Xenopus tropicalis: one gene and its partner. Each later gene encodes a partner of the first gene's protein in a complex. Links are inferred from orthologs where the notes say so. Each region holds a gene or a part of one and is shown in the gene's direction. Other genes may lie near its edges.

Region 1 (3,500 bases):
CACCCTATTTTTTCAAGCTATTAAACATTCTGATCTGTTTAGATTTTTCCTAGTTGAACTAAAAAAAAAACATAGTAGACTTGAGTGTCATGTTCTTGTTTCTCTTCCCTTGTAAATGTATTTTTCTCAGCGGACTGTCATAGCACACTATCAGTTTTGTGTGGTTTGGAAAATGTAATTCCAAACCTAGGGAATCCAGATGTCAGACATCTAAATTGTGTGTATCGTGATGAGTGAGAAAGCACGATCAAAATTATATACCAGTGGCAAACTGCTGATACCTGACTATAAAATGGATAATGCTTATATGTTACCTTTTTCATTGGTATAATGATTAAGATGACAGAAAAGTGCCTTTAAACCAACGTATCTGTAAAGTTTAAACAAATATGTTTTTTCTTGACTGTAACTAACAACCTTATTAGGAAATCCAGTGCAATTCATTGGCTTTATCTGTTGTAGGTTGAAGAAGCAGAGGCAAGACGCCTTTTTCAACAGATCATTTCTGCTGTAGATTACTGTCACAGACATATGGTGGTTCACCGCGATCTGAAACCAGAGAATGTGCTGCTTGATGCACACATGAATGCCAAGATAGCTGATTTTGGTATGTGACTTCCCAAACATTCTAAGAATGTAGCCAGCAAACAGGTCATTTGTTGAAGGTTGTCAGTATACAATCATTAGCTGTGCAGGGATGTAGAACTCTGCAATTTCAGTTAAAATTCTTTTGTTATTAGTTGGAAAAACTGCCCATTGTTGAAAGAGAATTTATTTTATAAATTTGTTTTGTAGTCTAACCTTATAGAGAGCAATACATTTGCTGTAGGAACACAGCAAAGAAATTAAACATACCCTTGTTATAAAGATAGCCATTCCTGAAGCAGCACAGTTATCTATTATTGGCCAGCATAACTAGTTGTGCATATTTTGCAATAATCTCATTACATGACCTTGCAAAGGAATTGTTATGGCTAGTGCCCAATGGGTCTCTGTGTGTGTAAATAAAACAAGGCAAATTGTAGGGAAAACTGCCAAATAATACCTATGACAAATATATATTTGCAAGTTTTTGAAAATGTTAAAGTACATTTCATTGCAAGTATGCAAACTTTGTTATTTTTTAAAGCTGATAAAATGTGCATTTACAGGTAGTTTGTAATACAGGTATAGGACCTGTTATCCAGAATGCTTGGGACCTGGGGTTTTCCTGATAAGGATTATTTCTGTCATTTGAACCTCTGTGCCTTAAAGGAAACATATAGGATAAATGACCACCCCCCCCTAATCTTGGAGGCAGTTATGAATAATATGCATTATGATGCTAGTTTTACTTTGGGCTAAAAACTAATACCATCTGTAAAAATGACCTCTTTACTGGAGCTTCTTATAGATCCTCCCTGGTCCCAGTCTGTGTTTCAAACAAGGGGTGGTTGTGTACTGCCAGAGCATCAGTATGTGGGGGATAATCATAACCTTGCAGTCACACAAGCAAAGACAGACTTCAGTTTCCTATTTAGTCAGGTTAGCTGCTGATTGGTTCCTATCCTAGAGTGCTGAGTGCAACCAGCTCCCCTGCTCAGCTTGGGAAAGGAGGCAGCAGGAAGTGGCCACAGATGGGTGGGACTAGTAGGGTTTGAGGGGAATATCTCAGTAAATCAGTCCGAAACATTTTTTAAGTGCATTCCTTCCATATTTGGAGAAGTATAATGCATTGTCAAGCATTAATTATATCTGAGTTGGGATCAAGTACAGGGTACTGTATTATTACAGAGAAATAGGAAATCAATTTTAAAAATGTCAATTGTTTATTGAGTCTATGGGGGATAGCCTTCCCATAAAGTCAGAGCTTTCGGAATAACAGATGCCATACTTGTATTTCATTTGATATTCTGATTCTTTCCAGTTGTTTCACACGCTCACTCATGCTGCAACCAACAAAATGCATATATGTTGTATAATGTAAGGTAAGTGATCACACCTCTATAACTTATCTTGGAAATTGTTTCTCATAGGATTATCCAACATGATGTCAGATGGGGAATTCCTGCGGACCAGTTGTGGTTCACCTAATTATGCAGCACCGGAAGTCATATCGGGAAGGTAAAGTATTTTACTATACACAAAATCCGTGAATAACTTATGCAATACAGCCTGTTGAAGTTGCTTAGTCACGTCATTATATGGCGCTAAGGGGTGCAGCATTAATTTAGCATTGATAGGTAGAATTTGCTATTAAAGGAATTCTAACTGCAGTTTATAAATGCCAGCAGCACATGCCATCATAAAATAAACATGTAAGGTACATAATGTACATCATTTTTATTTGTATTTTTTTGCTTGTTTTTTTTTCATTAATTATTAGCTACAATTTTGTGCCATGATGGTGGTCCTTTTGGTAGAAGCTTGCCTTTCTTGTGGATATCAATGTAAATGTGGCAGTGGGCAGAACTTGTGTTTTGACTGCCATTACTGGATGGCGTCTGCTTCAGCACCTACATTGGTATCTTCTGGTGCCAGTCCAAACACCAGAGCCACCTGCTACCCTAGCTCCAGAGGGGATAAAGGGCATCTACTAATAGCATCCTTCCAAGTTACTTTCAGTCGGATAAAATGAGGAAAAACACTATTTTCTTGCACTATTATACACTGCTTGTTTTATAAAAAAGGTTTCAGAGTTGCTTTAAGGGCAACTAAGGCTGCAGGCAACCAGTGATTTATTTATAAAGGGCTGCCCTGTTTCTCATATACAGCAGCCCTCAGTTAAAAAAAAACAAAACTTTTATTTGAGCAGCAAAAGGTTCTGCACTGTAAGGTTTGTGAGCTTGTGAAAAACCCCCGCAGGTGATGCTGTGATGGCATATTCTGTGACTTGGGTGACTTTTTGTCCAAGCATAATATCCAAGTCTATAGTGATCTTAAGATCTACATTTAGTTATGTGTATATTTTTATATATTTGAGTATATTAATAGGTCTCTCTATATGTATATGCACTGTGAGTTATTTGGAGGGGTTGAACTTTTGTCTTTTTAACCCAAATTAACTATGTAGCATAAGTTATGCCTTTAAACCACATTCCTTTCAGTTTAGCAAACCTCCTGCCTGAATATTGGAACAAGTGACTTCAGTTTTCCTCGTACACACATACACTATGCTAGGTATTAGTATGATATCAGGTGGGAGAGCAGGGATAGACAAGTGGGCATGCTCAAATGCTTATCAGTACATTCAGACTATCTGTTGAAAAGATGGGTGCCTTTGAGAGACAATTTTCAAGGTTTATGAGGGATTTTGTTACGCTTCAAGTTGTGAGACTGTATTGGGAGAATGAGTTATTCTTATTTGGCCCTTCATAATGCATTTAAATGTAATACCATGCTTTTAACCTATTTCCAATTGTAGTGTATTATATTGTCTGTTCTACCTTTCTGTGTAGATTGTATGCAGGTCCTGAGGTTGATATCTGGAGCTGTGGAGTGATACTCTATGCTCTTCTCTG
Region 2 (4,197 bases), on another chromosome or scaffold:
TTATGCCAGTGTAATTAAGCCTTAGTACCTAGATAAATTCCATGCCCTAAGGTTACAAAACTAAAAATTAATAAAAAAAATAAACAAAAAGCAAATAAAATATGAAGACCAGGTACAAATTGCATTAGAAGTTAGTTATCTGTACCAAGTTTTTTGCGGGACAGTCCCTCTTTTGACAGCTCAACCCGCAGTCCTGGATTCTTACTGAAAAGTCCCTCGTTTCCCTTTGATCTACTGCACCGAAGCTAAAAATGATACAAATTTAATTAAAAAATGACTTTTGACAAAGAGCCCAGAAAAGTAAAAAGCCCCCCCACCCTGCACTGAGATACCATTGAAACTAATAAGCTAAACAGGTCTCTTGGGGGAACTGAGACTTGCTGCTTAAAGGGCAACTTCACCTTTTTCAGCAAAACTGTAATAATACATAAAAATAGACCCCAAAACCCCCAGAAATGTGTTAACTTTGAATAGTAAAATGGGCATGCCAAATGTAATAAAATGGGAGTGGTATTTAGGGGGTGTGGTTGCAAAAATGGGTGTGTTCAAAAAGATTTGCCGCACTGTGAGCAGTGTCCCTCTTTCTGGTCTCAAGATGTTGGGAGGTATGCTAATGTGGCAAATCTATTGGCAGTAAAATGCCAAAAAGAGACCCAGACTCCAGACTCCTCGTTTTAAAAGGGAACTACTTCCCCCCCAGGCAACTTTTAAGCCTTTGATACAGTGCTACACTAACTCCACCTCCCCCACAGCCCCAAATGTATCTGATCATCTAATCACCTGTACAAGTATCAGATCCAGGAGCATGTGCATGGTCTACTACTGGCCCAGTGTGCATGTTACTGTTAGTTATAAGTTAGAAAACCAAAAATGTGCAAATGTGCAGGCACTAGCCCTGCTACACAGCTTTGCACCCCAGGAGCTGCTATGGAAGTACAGATACATTTGGCAGTGGCACTGTTGGTGTCATGAAGTCTTTCTTACTTTTCTCCTACAACTGTTTAAACTGTAGTTTTAGTTTAATTATTATTAATAATAATAATAATCATTTGACATTATGCAGTAACCCATAGCAACCAATAAGATTTTTGTTTTTAAACAGGCTACTTGCTGGTTGATTGCTATATGCAATTAATTAGATATAGTGCAGCTTTTTACTACCCAACCTCTCAATCTCATAGCAGTGTCAATATTCTTATAACCCTTTTTAATATTGTATACTTTTCCTACATCTGCAAACAACGACCCCAGTAGAGGAATTCCAATTCCAACTATACGCAGATATTAATTGGCACCTATCCCTTTATTGTCACTGATATCACTGACAGATAGCTGGAAAAGGAGTAATGGAAAAAAACAGATCGAACGTCATGTGCGACAACGAGTCTTTGAACGCAATATCGTCACATCCGCAGCAGGAAGCGGAAGCGGCGTGATAAACAAAGTCCTTTCTGGAGGTTTAAAGAGCGATACCTGCTCGTAAAGTGTGGAATATGGGGAACACAAGCAGTGAACGTCCCGGTCCCCACAAGGTGCGAAGAGATAGCACCGGAGCAGTGTCGAAAGGGGATGACAGAGCCAAAATACTGATGGACAGTCCTGAGGATGCGGATATGTTCCCTGCGGAGGAGAGTAAGGTAGAGAAGCGGCTCGTCCTGCAGCCATGTCCCTGCGAAACATCGTCCTGGATTAGTACAGGACAAGTTTAGGCTTAGTCCGACCTATGTCAGATCAACAAGTTTTCACTCATAAAGTGACCATGATACAATCTTTTAATACTAAAGTGTAATTGCTTCCTACACCAGCCTGTTGCTATTGGTTCTGTCACCCAGTATCTTGTCTCTCTTCTTGTCCACATAAATGGCAAAAGGAAATTCAAAAAGAGTTGCACAGTACCGCCCAGCAGTGGTGAAAAGGGTACATCACAGTAGTGATATTCTCTTCTCTGATTGGGGCAAATTTGTATAAACACAGGGCCAATTTGCACCGTGGCAACCAGTAAGAATTCTACTTTCAGACTTGAAAAATAAAATTGCTGATTAGTTGCTATGGGTTACTGCCCATGTGCAAATCTCCCCATTGACTTTAAATGAGCCCCATTATGTCTTAGAGAGTTATAAGGCAGATCATTAACAAGTAATGCTCTGGGAACTGGGTTGAGTTGCATATGCCCCAGGCCCTCAGAAAGGGTTAATAGCCAGGAGCAGAAAAGTTGAGCAAGCATCATGTGAACAGGTGTAGTAAAAGCAACAAGTCATGTATGTAAAATGTGTATATGCACAGGCTGAGAAATAGCTCCTCTGCTGGCTGCACCCAGTGGCACCGCTGACCTGGCTGTAGATGCATGGTGCATTTAGGCGTTACATGAATACATGAGTATACATTTCCAGTGACCTGTCTTTCTCCTGAGACAAGAGGTCCTCTGCGCTCACCCAGTATTCAAATATAAATATATATGATGGACATTAGGACATTATGTGCATTAAACTATTAAATAATGTCCTCTTCTTAAAGAAAAAACAGGAATTGTTTGACTGTATATTCCAGGTAAAGATACCTCCTGTATGAATCTTGTGTTTACAGCCTCATTGCACGCCCAATAAATGTTTTAAAATTTAGTGGTGAACACAACTTTCCCTTTTTTCCTCTGTGTCTCCACGCACTGTAGTCTTGCTGCTGCTGGTACTACTAAAAAACATTTTCTGTAGAGAATGAATAGTATATGGGTGTGTAACAACACACTAAGTACTAAGTCCACTGCATGAATTAAGAGCGGGTGGAGGTGTAACCAAACTACATAAACCAATAATAAACAATCCAGTATTTGTCCATCCTTGGCAGAGAAGTTTTACTGTCTGCACCCAACACTTCATCAAGTAAATTGGGGATTCTGTGTAGCACCTTTATTTAACCATCATGTCCCCACACTATAGGCTTTCATTGAATTCTTTAACCAGACATTGCTATTCTGTTTCTTAGTTGCTTAGTAAAATGAAGAGAGGTTGATGGGTAACATTAGAATGGGGTAAGGCTTCTTCTTTGGTAGCTCAGTGGTTAGCTATGCAGCCTGGCCTCTCAGAGTTCCTGAGTTTGATTCCGACATGGGCGGGTGCTCCAGTTTCTTTATACAGTCAGGTTAATGTGCTCCTGGTGACATTGAACCTGCTGGGTGTAAAAGTGGTAGGAAAGTTAGATTGTAAGCTCCAGTGGAGCAGGAACTGACGTGAGCAATTAGCAAGCTATGTAAAGCTTTGTGTAAATGTGTCAGTGCTATGTAAGTAAAAGATAAAATAAAAATGAATGGTGATTGCCTGCAGCTTGGGACTATGTGGTGTAGAGAAAGTAAATAACGGAGAGCAGCTATCTGATAGGGGACAAGATGCTGATAAAGACTGAGCTGGAACTGGTATTTTACAGAACTACTTTTCTTGGTTACATATTTATATTAACTTTAACCAGAAATTCTTAACCCATGTGTGCCCATTGATTTTTAGCAAGGATCAGCATGATGTCAGAGATTTTCCATGAGGTTCAGTATACATGCCTTGTGCAGCTGCCTATAGGGCCTTCTCATGGATATTCATCAGCCGAAGCAGAGGCACAAGTTCATGGCCTTTTATTAAGTAGATGTACTGTATAAATCATTTGCCCTGGGTACAGTGTAGAAAGTTGATAGTGCCTTAATTCATGCAATAAATGTCAAAACCATATTTAGTGGGTATTACGGACTTGAATAGTGATCATTGGGAGAAATGTTAAGTAAATACATAAATATGGGCATGGCTGTATCAGTTGGTTTATTCTGCTGAAGACTTTATTATAGACCAAAAGTATTTAGGTTTGTTCCCATAGATCACAGTGAGCATGTACTGCAGGAATAGAAACAACCTTTACTCATATTTGTCAGTCAAGTGGTATTTCAGTACTCCTGTTAATTGAGGATATTAGAGTCTTATAGAGACACATGGTTCCTTAGTGCTTCTCTGAGCATATCTGATATTTCATTTAATTCCCAGCTGTTTTCTAGATATTTATATAATCTTTAGCTCGGCTCCATGTGACTGTCTGCCACTGCACCCCAGGCAAACTCCTGCAGCTCTGCACAACTATCTATGTCTGTAAGGATTATGCGATCCTTGCCTCAACTTGTTTGAACCTGCCTCAATGTTTTAACCTGCCCGATTTTAAGCCAGATAT

Evidence for each region. The genes of interacting proteins can lie anywhere in the genome.
Region 2: the proteins of prkaa2 (region 1) and prkab1 are in contact, whole or in part, in a crystal structure (PDB 8BIK), measured with the Homo sapiens proteins. The link is inferred for Xenopus tropicalis from reciprocal best matches to the Homo sapiens genes PRKAA2 and PRKAB1. Residues at the interface, in NP_006243.2 of Homo sapiens: Gly9, Val11, Lys12, Ile13, Thr21, Lys29, Lys31, Asn48, Arg49, Arg53, Asp56, Val58, Ile61, Lys62, Ile65, Gln66, Lys69, Val82, Ile83, Ser84, Thr85, Pro86, Thr87, Asp88, Phe89, Phe90, Met134, Met164, Ser165, Asp166; in NP_006244.2 of Homo sapiens: Pro79, Thr80, Val81, Arg83, Thr106, Ser108, Asn111, Val113, Ile115, Gln154, Val155, Asp159, Phe160, Glu161, Val162, Phe163, Ala165, Leu166, Asp169, Ser170, Lys172, Cys173, Pro186, Tyr187, His188, Gln189, Glu190, Pro191, Tyr192, Ala202.

Annotation. Positions count from the first base shown.
Region 1 is NC_030680.2:87,573,778-87,577,277, reverse strand, and holds part of prkaa2 (5'-AMP-activated protein kinase catalytic subunit alpha-2), read left to right. Parts: intron 1-462; coding exon 463-607; intron 608-2,015; coding exon 2,016-2,103; intron 2,104-3,437; coding exon 3,438-3,500. UniProt on the Homo sapiens protein: Catalytic subunit of AMP-activated protein kinase (AMPK), an energy sensor protein kinase that plays a key role in regulating cellular energy metabolism.
Region 2 is NC_030677.2:151,375,224-151,379,420, forward strand, and holds the start of prkab1 (5'-AMP-activated protein kinase subunit beta-1), read left to right. Parts: upstream 1-1,397; 5' UTR 1,398-1,493; coding exon 1,494-1,637; intron 1,638-4,197. UniProt on the Homo sapiens protein: Non-catalytic subunit of AMP-activated protein kinase (AMPK), an energy sensor protein kinase that plays a key role in regulating cellular energy metabolism.